2 linked regions of the Elephas maximus indicus genome follow. The protein of the gene in region 1 purifies or fractionates together with the protein of each later gene. This does not show direct contact. Links are inferred from orthologs where the notes say so. Each region holds a gene or a part of one and is shown in the gene's direction. Other genes may lie near its edges.

Evidence for each region.
Region 2: the proteins of CDC25C (region 1) and SUFU purify together in Homo sapiens (affinity purification with mass spectrometry; 4 studies listed by BioGRID and IntAct, counting the BioPlex papers as one, with this or other methods). This does not show direct contact. The link is inferred for Elephas maximus indicus from reciprocal best matches to the Homo sapiens genes CDC25C and SUFU.

Annotation. Positions count from the first base shown.
Region 1 is NC_064820.1:151,423,320-151,430,945, reverse strand, and holds the start of CDC25C (M-phase inducer phosphatase 3), read left to right. Parts: upstream 1-4,570; 5' UTR 4,571-5,106; intron 5,107-5,283; exon of another isoform or gene 5,284-5,290; 5' UTR 5,291-5,295; coding exon 5,296-5,489; intron 5,490-7,343; coding exon 7,344-7,447; intron 7,448-7,626. UniProt on the Homo sapiens protein: Functions as a dosage-dependent inducer in mitotic control. Tyrosine protein phosphatase required for progression of the cell cycle. When phosphorylated, highly effective in activating G2 cells into prophase.
Region 2 is NC_064834.1:54,066,456-54,074,119, forward strand, and holds the start of SUFU (suppressor of fused homolog), read left to right. Parts: upstream 1-4,562; 5' UTR 4,563-4,755; coding exon 4,756-4,937; intron 4,938-7,664. Other genes in the region: ACTR1A (alpha-centractin), read right to left, coding at 2,273-2,320. UniProt on the Homo sapiens protein: Negative regulator in the hedgehog/smoothened signaling pathway. Down-regulates GLI1-mediated transactivation of target genes. Down-regulates GLI2-mediated transactivation of target genes. Part of a corepressor complex that acts on DNA-bound GLI1.

The DNA of each region.
Region 1 (7,626 bases):
GAGACTGAAAGTAGTAGAAGGTGAAGAGGTTGGGGAACAGTTAGATGGTTTCTGGCTCTTATGTAAATTTGAGTCTCAGCTAGCATCAAAGATGGTTCAGAGAGACAGGCAAACAGATGGAAAAAGAAGAGGTTTTAAACAATGCCTTTGGGTTGTGATCCCTTTGTAGGGTAGAGTTTTAGATTTCTAATTGATTGGAAAGTGGTAGTAATGCAAGTAAGTCCCCTGAAAGACATCTGTTTTCTGTAAATATTTTGTGCCCCACTCAGGAGTGGTACAGGTAAATTAGCTGTGTTCAGCTAGAAAGTAGTCATTGTAGGGATCTTCCTCATTGAGCCATGGAAGGGAGGAGGCAGGAGCCACAAAGTCAGCTAACTGAAAAAGAATAAAGGAAAAGTGAGGTATTTATAAGAAAGTGGGAGGGGGATATACCTTGCCATGCACATTTCCCCTTGGTGAAAAAGAAGCAGAGGCAGGGACCATGAAGCATAGGAGACACTGTTTTCAGTAATAGCTGTGAAGCACTTATATGTGCCAGGCACGGTGCTATATAATTTAAATAATGTATTCTCATTTTTGCTTACAATCACCAAATGAGACAATAAACAGCCCAAGAGGTTGAGTGCCCAAGTGGTGGGCAAAGAACCAATTATGAGCCTCTAAAGCCCTGGTTATGTAAAGCACTAGGCTATATACCCCCCACTTTTTTTTTTAAATTATCCGTGCTTACAAAAGTTAAATGACTGAGTAAAAGAAGTTAAGTTAGCATTGGCTAACTTGTAAAACATTGAAAGAATTTGAGACGTTAAAAAACAAAATCAAACAAAAACTGAGCAGATTTCAGGCCTCAAAGGAAGGCTATACCCCCTCTTTCATCAAGGGTAAAATAGCACTCAGTATAGCCCAAAGCTCCACCTCCATTACTAACTATAGTTAAATCTCCTTCTTGTTAGGTGCCATCGAGTCGATTTCGACTCATAGTGACCACATGTGACAGAATGGAATTGCTCTATAGGGTTTCCAAGGCTGTAATCTTTATGGAAGCAGACTGTCTCCCATGGAGCCACTGGGTGGGTTTGAATAACCAACCTTTAGGTTAGCAGCCAAGCACTTAACCATTGTCCCACCAGGGCTCCTTTTAAATCTCCTTATACCCTTCTCTTAGTTCTCAAGTTTTTAAGTCATGACCTGTTATTTTTTTTTCCAGCTGCTTCCTTTTGTTCTTGGGATGCTACCTTGAACTTCGTCTTAATTGTGCCCTTGGGCTAGACCTCATCTCTGACCCTGCTCCAGGGAGTTTCAGCAGAGTATACTACCTGGTCTCCATCCAGATTCTCGAAGAGTTTCAGGGCCTGGAGCCAGTCATCCAGTAGATTGTCCAAAGGGGTGGAGTCCATTGGCTCTAAGAGACTCTCCATTCCCTGTCTAGGAAGGCAGCAGAGTCAGAGGAACATGCCTTTTATTCAGACCCTCCCTTTTCACGCAGTGAAAGATAAACCTCTGCAAAGTGGGGAGATGTGGGGCTCAGCCCACCACTCACTGAAGGAACCAGAAATAGTCAGCACACCCCAGAGCAGCCCTGCCCTGAAGGGGCTGACTGGGCGGATCCCAGGAATGCAAGGCTCTTCTCCAGTGCCTGTTCTGGGCATCCCAGGAGCGATGGCTGTACTGTCTGTTCTTGTTTGGCGTCTGAGGTTGAAGCCCTGGCTGTCGCTGTGCCCTGGCAACAACAAATGTGGGTCAGGCTGAGGTCAATATGAAAGGGGGCCCTGTATAGCAGGGGGCACAGCTCACTACTTATCACAATGAATCAGGAGCCTAGTTAGAAATTCCCTGAGAATGAGTAAGACCAGTGTCCTCAATCAAATAGAAAAAGTAGATCTTCAGATTATACACCAAACTTTCAGCCTCACTAATAGCCTTTCTTCTGGAAAGGGTAAATTAGATATATTCTTGGAAATCAAGGTAGACATAAAATATTTGACTTCCCTTTAAAACAAATGTTCATTTTCATGCATTTAATTTCTATGAGTGTGTGTAAATTTACATGTACTTAGGCAAGTATGTTGCAATTACCAAGTCAAGAGGAGGCATAAGAAGACGATGGTAAAAATGGTTGGAAGGAAAACCACCTCATTAGGAAACACAGATAGAGCTTTAAAAAGTCACATGGAGGGGCGGGTGGGAGAGGAAAATCGGGGATATTAAGAGATACAGAATTTTTGTTAAAGACTGTGAAAAAAATTGGAAACATGATGATTGTTGCACAACATGGTGAATGTAATTAATGTCAGTGAATTGTAGACAGAAAATTGTTGAAATATATATCTCACCACAATCAATTTTTTAAAAAAGCCAATGGACCAAGTATGTTCCACTTGAAAAAAAAAAAAACCTTGGAAATATTAGGGCTAGATTACAAGAAATTTAGTAGTTCTGCAACTTTGTGAGCACATTCAAAACACTCAGATCCTAGTATCTTTCCATCCTCTGAACCAAAGCAACTTGGTGGGCACCCTTGTTGTGACCACCCCACAATGAGACTCATGTGGAGACCTGCTGCAGAAAGCCCTGGTAGCCAGGTGTGCTTTTGCCATAATCTATCTGCTTTTGCCGTCGCTGCAGGACAATGTCATATGTCTCTACTGTGGGGAAGTACACAGTGCCCCACAAAGTGTGATTTATAGTCACCAAAGCAGAACCAACTCATCCCATACTCTCTTAATTCCCAGCCTGATTTGCAAACTCACCTGGCATGGCGTGACTCTGTGCTGACTCCTGCATTCACCATCTGTATCCCAGAAGACAAAGACTCCTCACACATCTCCTTTCTAGAGAAGCAGATTCTACAGATGAAGGGAGTATCAGGGAGTAACCAGCTGACTACAATGCTTCTCAGCCACCACCACCACCAAGATTCTGACACCAGATAAATGTGGTATTTCTGACTTATTGTTTTCTCAAAGATAAAGTTGCATTTCTGACTTAATGTTTCTCAAAGTGTGGTCTGCGAACCATCTGCTTTGGTAGCACCTGGGGGCCTTGATCATTCCTGGGCCCCATTTCAGACCTATTGAATCAGTATTTGGGGCTCTTGCATTTTCAAGAGCTTACAAGTTTATTTTAAACTTTTATGGGAAATTTCAAATAATACACAGCAGTGAAGAGAATAGCATAATGCCTTGGGGCAGTTTGAATCCACCAGCCACTTCTTGGAAACCCTATGGGGCAGTTTTACTTTGCCCTGTAGGGTCTACGCGTCGGAATCCACTCAACAGCAATGTTTTTTCTTTTTTAAATGCTACTCAAAGTATAGTCCTAGGATTAGCTGCATCAGCATTACCTAAGACCTTGTTAGCAGTGCAGAATCTTGGACCCCAACCCAGACTTAGGGAGTCAGAATCTGCATTTTAACAAGATCCCAGGTGGTTAGAATGCACATTAAACTTTGACAAGTACTAGTGGGCGTCGTGTACCAATCACCCATCACTCATGGCCAATTTGTTTCATGTATACACACCGGTTTTCCCTACCCCATTATTTAAAAGCAAATCCCCCAAATTATGAATAACTTAGTATCAGCTGTTGTGTACTGTCGACTGGATTCCAACTCATAGCGACCCTATATGACAGAACAGAACTGCCTCACAGGGTTTCTTAGGCTGAAATCTTCAGGGAGCAGACTGCCTAAAGATTTAGGTTCAAACCCCCGACCTTCTCATTAGCAGCCAGGCGCTTAACCATTGCGCCACCAACCAAAAAGAAGGAAACCCGTTGCCGTGGAGTGATTCCGACTCATGCGACGCCGTAGAACAGAGTAGAACTGCCCCATAGGGTTCCCAAGGGAGCGGCTGGTGGATTCGAACTGCCGACCTTTTGGTTAGCAGCCAAGCTTTTAACCACTGCGTCACCAAGGCTCTCCGTATTATGCCACCAAAGCTCCTTTAATACCACTTAGTCAAGACAAATTTCCATAACAAAGACTGAATTCTTTGAACTGTGATAAGGATTATGCCAAGAAATTATTCAACTTTCCTATTCTCCCAGCAAAGGAATTCCTGTTTACCCTACATAGAGTCTCAGATGCTACCCCTAAAAAGGGTCACCGAAACTCTTGGGAGGGGCTGACGCCGCTCTGCATAAACACACACACCTGTCTCTTCCCAACACCTGCCACGCCGGCGGCAAATGCTCCATCGCCAGCGGAAAGCTAGAAAAGCTAGAAGGGAAAGGTCCGCGTAACAGCACGAGAAAAAAAGCAAGAAAAAAGAGACGCTCTCCAAACTCTCCCATCTAAACTAAAAAAAAAAACGCTCGTGTTATTAGGCCAGCGAGTGGTCGCAATTTAAATCTCCCGGGGTTGGTGAGGCTGCGGGCAGACTGAAGGAAGGATGTGGCGATTGGTCAAAGGGAGGGCCAATAATGCTCCAGGTTCCCTGTGGGGCGGGGCTTATCCAGCTTTTTTTTTTTTTTTTTCCTGTCTAAAGCTGGTGGGCCAATCGCCGGGCTGCTCTGATCCAGGGGCGGGGCAAATATTGCTCTTCCAGAGCAAGCGCACGCCCAGAGGTGATGTACGATTGGCTGAGGACGTCTAGGCGGGCACGCCGAGATCGGCTGACGCAGTTTAGAGGCAAGCGTGGATAGGTTATTGGGGAGGGCGGAAGGTTTGAATGGTCAAGGTCTACGGCTGTTGGTGTTCTTGCACTGAGACTGTAACTTCCATTCTGCCGAGAGAACTTGCAAAGCCTGGCCCCCGCCTACCCAGCTGAAGAGCAAAATAGTCTGGCTAGTCGCCTCTTTTCCCCAGTTTGTTCTTTTCTTTAATTCTGCTCGAGGCTTCGCTTGTGGCCGATCCTTTCCTCGCGAAGACAAGGCTCAGGACCCAAAAGACCTAGGCCCGGAGCCATCTACGCCACGGAGTCACGGAGACCCCATTGTCTCCTCCGGGTCCAGCCGGGACCCCGCAAACCTAAGGCGGGAGGACCTGATAGGCATTATCGCGAATTAGGAGACCTGAGTTCCGGTTAGGACTCGCTTAGCTGTGTGGCCGGGAACAAATCAAAGGCCTTTCTTCATCCCATCTTTAAAGCCCTGAGTTGCCTCTCGGTAAGTTAGGATCCACCAAAAAGATCACCGTTTGGGTATGCCCGTACTCCAATACTGATTTGCTTGACCGCTGCTGGAAAGGGTTAGGGAGGTTGTTGTGAAAGCTGTGATGTATCAGTGATGCACCTACATAGATGACCTTGTCCTCTTATATTGGTTTAATTTTTTCTTGGTGAGAACTTAGAGCCCATGTCTGCAAATCCCTTCTCATCCACAAGAGAGGAGGAAGGCGCTGGTTCAGGACCCAGTTTTAGATCCAATCAAAGGAAGAGGTTAAACCTGCTGCTGGAGAGAGAGACTTCCTTTACCAAGTGTCCAGGTCTCCCTAGAACTCCGGTGGACAAACTCCTGGTTGATTCTGGAAACCTAAGCATTTTGTCTGGGTAAGTTCACTTTTATAGTCACACTTTATTTCTCTTGCTTTTCTAGTTTGTTTATAAATTATCCTGGCCCTAGGAAAAGGGTCTAAGTCTCACCTCTGCCACTTGACTAACTGTGACCCTTTTGAATCTCAGGCTTCTTTTCAGTGATCTGGGAATAACAGTTTCTTCCTATTTTACCAGGATTGGGTGAGAATCTAATGACGTGATGTCTGGGGAAGTCTTTGCACACTTTATTATTAGTGTTATCGTACTTGTACTTGGAGCCCTGGTGGCACAGTGGTTCGGCCACTAACCAAAAGGTCAGCAATTCACATCCATCTACCGCTCCTTGGTAACGCTATGGGGCAGTTCTCCTCTGGCCTATAGAGTCGCTATGAGTCGGAATCAATATGTGTGTGTGTTCTTGCACTTTAAATTCTGGCGATGTTCGTGTCCAGATGCCTCAGCTACCAAATGAAGTTGAAGATTTATAGAGCTGAAAAGTACTACAGAACCCAGGGAGGAATCAAGTCTGTGTCCTCATGGTGCACAGGGGAGAGGACATAAGATCAAGACCTGTAGATCAATAAACTTTGGGCCTCAATTAAAAAAAAAAATTATCCTGTCTCAATATGTTGGTGAGGGGAAATTGAGATACAGGTTATTGGAGTAAAGAAAAGGTGAAACATTTTTCTCAGCCTAGTTCCCATTATTACCAGACCAAAAAACCCATTGCTGTACTAATGGATCACAACTACCACAGGCCTCCACCAGACTGAGTCCAACACAACTACGTGGTGCCTGGCTACCACCACTGACCACTCAGACAGGGATCACAATACACAGTCCTGAATAGATCGGGAGAAAAATGTAGAACAAAATTCAAACTCACAAAAAAAGACCAAACTAACTGGTCTGACAGACTGAAGAAACCCAGAGAATATGGCCCCTGGACACTATTTTAACTCAGTCCTGAAGTTCACCTTTCAACCAGAAGACTTTTTTTTTTTTCTTACTTTAACAAAGAGAAATTTATTTCCTCACAGTAAAGTAGGCTAAAAGTCCAAATTCAGGGCGTCAGCTCCAGGGGAAGGTTCTCTCTCTCTGTTGGCTCTGGAGGAAGGTCCTTGTCTTCACTCTTCCCCTGGTCAAGGAGCTTCTCAGGCACAGGGATCCCTGGTCCAAAGGACACGCTCTGCTCCTTCAACCACAGGATTTTTGAGGAAAATGAATAGATAGGCCTGTAAAATAAACAATAACACATATGAGGAACATGTTTCATAGTTCAACCATGTACGTGAGACTAAATGGGCTTACCAGCCCAAAAGCAAAGACAAGGAGGCAGGAAGGGACAGGAAAACTGATGAATGGAAATAGGGAACCTGGGGTATAGAAGGGGAGAGGGTTGACACATCCTGGGTTTGGCAACCAATGTTACAAAACAATGTATATATTATTTAATGAGAAACTAATTTCCTCTGTAAACTTTCGCCTAAAGCACAATTAAAAAAAAAAATTGCCATCAAGTCAATTCTGACTCAAACTGACCCTCTAAAATGGAGTAGATTAGAAATCCCCCATACGATTTCCAAGACTGTAATCTTCATGGAAGTAGACTGTCTCCCACCGATTGGCTGGTGGGTTTGAACCTCTGACCTTTCATTTGGCACAGTTAGATTAACCACTGTGCCACCAGGGCTTCTTGTTTCATTATTAATCTGAAATGTTTCCCAAAAAGTTACTAGATTTATTTGGACACTGTTCAGATTTTTGTAACAGTTATTGAGGAGTGTTGCAAATGAGGATGTTATGCTTTTTTCATTTAAGGATGTTATAACCTAATGGGAATTTTGATGTTCTATTATGTCTCGACAGAGGAACCCCAAAACGTTGCCTTGATCTTTCGAATCTTAGCAGTGGGGAGATGTCTGCCATGTCTGCCACTCAGCTTACCACCTCTTCAGACTTTGATAAAACCGGTAGGGAGAAGGGAATAACAGCCATAATGGCCTCAGTGGGAAGAATAACATAAGGGAGAGAACAGGCTAGTAGGATAGAGATGGAAGATGATGAAAGAGTGTAGCGAGCCTTGAAGTTGGAAATGTGTGGGTAACTAGTGGATTGGCAACCAATGTAACTTCTGCTTGAGGAGAATGGT
Region 2 (7,664 bases), on another chromosome or scaffold:
CCAAGGCTCCAAATCTAAAAATGTGGCAGATATTTGGGAAGTCCTAATGAGAAAATGACTTAAGCTCCTACTTCACCTTTTGGCAGAATTACTGGCAGAATGAAGGAAATGTTTTCCCAGAGAAAAGTCAATCCTTTAAACATTAAAACTGAAAATGCACCACTGCTTTGATGCATTTCAAATACATTACCAGGAAAGACAAAGGAGAAACTAAGACGCATTAGTTTAAACAACATTAAAGAGACTGGCTGGAGACAGAACTCCTGCCCAGCCATTCAAGAAGCAAAGGATCCCCTGGGTTGGATGGCTGGACTGCTCCTCTGTACTGCTGATGAAAACAGGAAATTGTTGCCAATTGCTAATTTCTTTCTAACTAAGCAAAAGGCAGATGAAACACAGACTGGCTGAAGACTGAAGTAGCAGTGTTCTCTGGAAATCAGCATCACGAACAAGGAGTCCTGCTCAACCCTCTCAGTAAATAATGGGGGCTCCCTGCCATCCTTTATTTAGGAACATCTTTGTTACTGTGATAAGAGATGTTCATTCATTCAACCACCTGCCCATCAGTCCAATGAAAAAACATTTATTGGGCACATAGTGTGTGCCAGGCACTGCCCTAGGTACTGTGTATATGGAAACGGGAGAGTAATAAAAAATAAAGGAGTATCATTCTTTTTCCACAAGGATTTCAAAGTCTAGTGGAGACAAAAAAAAAAAAAAAAAAACTCTCCCAGAAGGGGTGCCTCATTGAGCTCAAACAAAGCAGAAGCCACACCCATCCGAGAGAAGAAAAACGAACAAAAATAACCTTTCCTTGGAAAGAGTGAGGAACTTGGAACCAGATCTCAGTCTGAGTCTTGGTGCCTTAATTCACAGGCCAGGTGGTTTGAATATGTTATTTAACCTCTCCAAGCCTCAGTTTTCTGCATAAACTGAGAAAAATAATTCCTACTTACCTAGCAGGGGAGAAGTTTAAACAAGGCGACGCTGTACCCAAGAGCTGGCTCAACAGGGCGAATCAGTTAGGACTGAGGAGATTGATAACTTCAAACCCATCCAGAGGCACCTGGAAAGTAAGGCCTGGCAATCTGCTTCCAAAAGGTCACAGCCTTGAAAACCCTATGGAGCAATTCTACTATGCACGCTTGGGGTTGTCATGAGTCGGAACAGACTCCACCACAGCTAACAACAAGAAGAGGCACAGAGAGGTATCAACTGATCTTAGTGGGACCATCACCCTTGAGCTGAAGACAGAGATGCCGTTGTTTTACAACTGCCCCTCCTTCCCCATAAAAGTAGTATTCAGAGTCTTTCCATTTGTCACTACTGATGCATTTGCGTGGGTGCCAGCAAAAGGAATAACCGGTCAAGCCCTGTGTGACCTTGGGCTCACGCTTCAGATTTCTCAACTATTAAATGAGGATCAAACTTCCTGCCTTAACTATCCGCCTAGTTTTTGTGAGCATCCAACTCGAATGTATATGAAAGCGCCTTGTAAGCGCTGGAGAGCCTTGCAAATATTATGTTTAGCTAATTTTTTCCGTCAACAATTAGGCGTTCCAAATAGAAAGGCATCTCCCAGCTTGCTTTGTCATTCTCATTTCTTCTAGGCCTTTATTAACTTTATAATTATAGAAATAACTGAAATTCTACGGCCATTTCTGGCATCAGATTTTCGGGCCCCACCCAGATACACCACCATGCTGCCCCGCCCGCTCGGGGCCGCAGGAAACAGCCCCTCTCCTCCACCCGCAGGCGGGCCTTCGCCCTTCTAGTGCCACTGAGTTCCCGAAGCCAATCCCCACAGCGCTGGTACACCGCCCCGCCCCTTAGAGAAGGGAAACACTAAGGCGGCCCGGAAGAACGGCAGGAGCGTGAGCCAATCACTGCAGAGGGCTGTCCTCATCCGGCAAGGCCCAGAGGCGGGGTCACCAGTCAAGATAGACAGCAAGAGCAGCCAATAGAATTAACAAGCACTGGGGACAGGGCAGGCGCCGGTGTTCACAGAGCGGTTAAGGCCCCTCGAGCCAAGGGCCCACCGACCCGGCTCGGACTACAGCTCTTTCCTTTGCCTACTCCAGAGTTCTCTATCCCACGGTTGCCGCCTGGCTGCCCTGCCTACGAACTACGGGTGGGGGAGGACGTTGGCGACGGCGGCTGAACCCGCCTGACAGGCCGGGCCAGTGACAAAGAGCCGGGCAGAAACCCGGGAAGCTATCCCTTCGGGGAAGAGAGCAGAAGTCCCTTTAGAAATAGGAAAGATGCAACTCACGTTGTCGATCACGACAGGCTGGTTGGCGATCACATCGTAGGACTCCATCGTAGAGGAATCTCTCCTTCCGAGGAAAGAACTGCCAGCCCGGTCCGCTGCTAACGCCGCTGACACGCATGCGCAGTCTAGCCGCCGGTATAGGGCGGCCAGGGAAGGGGTCCGATTTCGCCTCCAAAGAACTACAATCCCCAGCATGCTTTGCGCCGGGGTTTGCTAAAAGGCCCGTTTTGGAGACCCGCCTCTTAAACATGGATTGAGCGTCCGCATTTCCGTCGCACATACTCTGGGGTTTGTAGTCTCCGTTAAAAAAATAGATGGAGACGCCGATTGATGCCTGTGTTGCATTCTTGGATTTGTAGTCCCTTTGAAAGGTTTCGCAGTGCATGCCGAAGTGTGTAGTCTTCTTGAGTACTTGTCTGTATTTCGTTTAGCATTGGTCAGTAATTCGTGAATGTGGTTTTTACAGATCAGTACTGCCCACTCCACCCCCACCTCACCTGGACAAAATAAGGCTGCCATGTTTTTATTTGGGTCTTTAAGACTTTAAAAAACAAACATCTACCACCATCAAACTTGAACAGAAAGGTCATTTTAATACACATATACACACACAAGAAACTGCAAATTTTCAGAACAAAGGAAATCATTTAAATTCCATAAAAATTTGCTACAAGAGAAAAGCAGTACATTGTGGTTACTATTCCCGTTTTCTCCTGGATAGGCGTAAATTTAGTAACAGATTGACATTGGTCTGAAGACTGGCATTTGGAACTACTGGTAAAGGTGATCTTTTGGTTATTAAAATATTGTTCATCCAAGGATTTCAGCTGCTTCTCTAGTATCATTACAGGAGCTAGAATTGACAAGATTTTGATAGGTGAGGAAACAGAGGTGAAGAGAGGTTATGTGTTACTGCTCTTAAATAAACACTGCATTTTCCTCTTGTTTTCTCTAGGGCATCCTTCTGTTAAAGTTGCAGAGACCCTTTGGTCAATAGCACTGGTAGCCACTCCCTCCTATCCGTTTATCTTGGCACTCCTTCAAGATCATTGAATGAAAGTGTTACTGAATGAAGAGTTATTGTAAACAGGAAAATAATTTTCCACCTCGTGCCTAAGAAATTAAAGAAAATTCTCCCAGATACAGAGAGTAAAGATAATGGGAAAGGACAGGCCCATAGTGGATAATGAATATTGGTATTCCTCAAAGCAAACTGCATACATCTCCTTAAAGCAGAACAAAGAACGAAATTATCATTAAAAACATTTATTAAAGAATTACTAAGTCATATAAATTGACACTAGTTTAACCAACTCTTGTTATTTTCTGAACAAACCTGTAGCCCTGGAGTTGATTCCGTTTCATAGACACCCTATAGGACAGAGTACGACTGACCTTTAAAGTTTCCAAGGTTGTAATCTTTAGGGAAGCCGATTGCCACATCTATCTGCCAGCGGAGCCGCTGGGTGGGTTGGAACCGCCAGACCTTTTGGTTAGCAGCCAAATGCTTAACCCCTGGGCCACCAGGGCACCTTTACTTTCTGACAGTATGCCAAAAAGTATTTATTACTTGTTGACTTATTTTAGGAGCCCTGGTGGCCCAGGGGTTAAGCGCTCGTCTGCTAACCTAAAGGTCGACGGTTCCAATCCACCCAGCGGCTTCGCTGGGAGAAAGATGTCTGCTTCTGTAAAGATTACAGCCTTAGAAACCCTAAGGGACGGTTCCACTCTGTCCTACAGAGTCGCTATGAATCGAAATCGACACGACGGTATGGGTTTTGGGGACTTATTTCAACTTCAGTTCCCTGAATTTGGTCGCTATAGGATCCCTGTGAATCAGGATCGACTAGACGGCAATGGGTTTTAACAGTGTCAGTCAATACGTCCACGGACGTTCAAAAATAGTAGGAAACATTGGATTAATTAATCTATTAAAACTAATGCCACACGGACGAGTGAGCCAATATACTGTCAGATTTATTTAAATCTTGGTTAGTAGCGTGTAAGCTACTAACCTAACCGTAGGTGAGATCACGTCACAGTGCCTTTCGTGGGACCCTAGCACCTCACAGGGTTGCCTCCCTCAATGTCTCTATTTAAACATGTCTTCCTCCCAACACTAGGGGGAGACCAAGAGCCTTGGGACACCCCCAACTCAGCGATGAGAAGGCGGGGCCTATTGTCAGATCACGCCTTTCTCACCTGTGACTGGCACAGACGCTAGCCAATAGATGTCAGCATAGGACGCGTTTGCGGCCCGCCCATTTGAGAGCTCCGCAGCCCCCAGGCACCCTCTGGCCGACTCCGAGGCTGCGGCGGCGGCGGCCTGGGCGGACAGTGTGTAGTGCGCAGGCGCAGACACTAGACCTCGCTGCAGCCCCCTTTGCCTCGGGGAGTCGCACCCAAGAAGTCCGCCCGCTGGCCAGTCAGTGCTCTCCCCCTCACCCTCCCTACCCGGCTCCCCCAGCACCCTACGTGCCCCAATGGCGGAGCTGCGGCCTAGCGGCGCCCCCGGCCCCACCGCGCCCCCAGCCCCTGGCCCTTCTGCCCCCCCGGCGTTCGCCTCGCTCTTCCCCCCGGGACTGCATGCCATCTACGGAGAGTGCCGCCGCCTTTACCCCGACCAGCCGAATCCGCTCCAGGTTACTGCTATCGTCAAATACTGGTATGCCCTGGGCCGCGGGGAGACGGACAAGGGGGCTGGGAAGGGTTAAAGCGCCGGAACGAAGAAATTTGCAGGGGAAGAGAGGAGGAGGAGTAGAAGGGTTAAAGCACTTGCAAGGAGGACTTCCTGCTGCGAGGGGAGAATTAAGGCACAAGTTGGGAATGGGGACAAAGGGGTTAACGGAGCCTGTGGGCAGTGAAGGGTTAACGGAGGAGGGGAGGATGAAAGGTTAACAGATTAAAATGGAGTAAGAACTGGGGTGTGTGAAGGAGCAGAGAGGGGTGCGTTATGAGAGAGGGAACTGTAAACGTGGTGAAAGGAGAGCGCGCCAGTAGGGGGTCATTAGTGGAATAGGGGAAGCTAAGGATGGGGGTCGGCTGAAGTGGGATGGGGAAGGCTAGGCGGGGCCTGGGGAGCATAGGAGAGGGCTTTGGAGGAGCTCGGCTGGAGGAGATTAGAGGGCGTGAGACTGCCTAGTATAGGGGCGACTGCATAGGATAGGGGCGGGTCTGGGGGCCTTCTTGAGAGTTAGGAGGGCAGCCCATTGAAAGAGTAGTGTTTGTGAAGAGATGAGGTCTCCTTTTCATACCTTCTCGTTGAGCTCCTACGTAATACCCGAGTAAAACTTTTGCTTTTGAAGTTTGACCAGCACTCTTCCTGATAAACTTTTTGCTTGCTCTGCACAGTGTTCCTCCTCTGTGCAGAGCTCCCTCTGGCTCTGCAGCTCCTTTGCTCTGGGACATTGGCTAGAACAGGAGCAAGCTAAGGAGATCCATGGTTTGGCTCAGGATTGAAAGGGCCACAGCTTTCCACTTCCAGTAGGAAGTAAATGACGGAGACCTGGGGCTGGGCAGGGAGGGAAGCAGTGCTTTCTGGCCACCCATTTCAGGACTCAGGCATTAGTTTCTCAGGGCAGCTGATATTCCTCAAGTAGTTCTGCTGAGGATCAGGCTGGGTTACAGATGGGTTACGCTTGGTGTAGGAATGGATCTTTTCTAGTTTCCCATCCCTGTTTGCAACCTGTCTCTTCCTACAGCCTCTGGGCAAAACAGGTGTTACTGGGACTCTGGAAAAGAGCCCATCCTCTTGGTCTTTCTGGGCCAAATGTTGACTGAGGAATTGGTTGAGTCCAGCACCACACTCATACAGGGACTGTATTAGATGCTCCCTTTCAGTGGGTCCTGAAAGACAGTTCAGACAGCTAGTTGCTTGGGGTGTGGCCAAAGGGGCAGGTAGACTCCAAGGTGGAAGAGAGTGGATGTCTTGGCTGGTTACCATTCCCATTGGGACTGAATCTTTCTCCTCCACGAGTATGGCTTACTTCCTCTGGAGATGGCAGTCGCTAGGCTGTGCAGAGCTGAGGCTTGCCCCCTGTGCTGGTGGGAGAATGCCATCGGGGCCTTGGGACCAGCCACCTGCTCCTCAGGGAGGGCCATGGGGAGCAGCCTGCCTCTGTCTGGGCAGCCAGGAGGAGGTGTGGCTGGCGGTGCGCTTCTGTCTGGCAGGAAAACTGTTCTTTGGTTGAGAGGAGTTTTTGGAGAGCCTCTGACTGGAAAGCAGCTCTTGCTAACTTAACCAGCCATTCTGATTGTGCCTCTATGTTTAAATATGTGTTGGGAGGAACTCTGTTGAAGTGTATCTTGAGAAAACTGGGTCTGGCTCTGTCATGCTGTTTGTTCAGGTCTCCTTTGAGTGTGAGGAGAAATCCCTCCACAGACTCAGGCAACTGTTTTTGTCTGTTACCCAAGTGGCGATAAAGGATGGTGCTGAATGTGAAAGGTATTGAAGCGTGTGCAAATGACTAAGACTAGTTTGGGCAACTTTTTTTTTTTTTTCTTCCTGCTGCAAGCTTGTTAACCAGGCCAGTACTTAGCTTCAGAGACTGGCCAGCATGTAATGATGAATAAAGATGATTGCACAGCACTTGGTGAGATTAGAAATGCTGCCTAGATGCAAAAAAAATAAGAGGGAGTAGCTCAGAGACAGGATCTTTCCAAGATTCGAACAGGTTTGCATAATTAAGATCCTGAAATTCATTCATACCCCTCACATTTGGGATCCCATGTGTTGCATGGCTCCATGAAGCCTCTTCAGTTCTCTAGCAGAATGATTGAGAGGCTGCCTGCTCTGGCTGTGGCCCAGGGTACTTTGGGATTCCTCTCCTGCAGTGGAAGGATGGCTCTTTCGCTAATGGTGCTGGCCAGGGATGACCTGCTGAAGGCTGAGACTTTGTGAGTAGGGAGCAGAAGCATAGAGGCAGAGCCTATGCCCTGGGTCCATTCTAGTCCTGTAGGTGGCCTGTGGAGTGAAGTCCGGTGTTCGAGGCTCCTCTCCTCTGGAATTAAGTTGAAGGATGCTCTGGTTCGTTGGCTAACGTCTTTTTCTAAGTACAAAATAAGATTATTTTCTACATAGGCATCTGATTCCAGTCAGGTCTGGGAGTAGTAGAACAGAACACTTTGTGCTTGGGGCCAAGGTTAAATTTGTCTAAGTCTTGGCTATTCCCTGCCCTTGTAGTTTTAAGGACAAGCCTCTCCCCTTGATGGGACACCTCCTTGGACATGTGGAGATAGAAAAGGGCTGCAGTGGTATGACACATGGAGCACTGAATACTGAAAGCAGGTTTACCACTTGTTGGTGTATGGATTTTGGCTGAAGGAGAGGCAGGATTGGGAGTTTGTAGCAGAAAACTGGAGCAGATATAGGGCCTGTTGTCATTCTCATCCG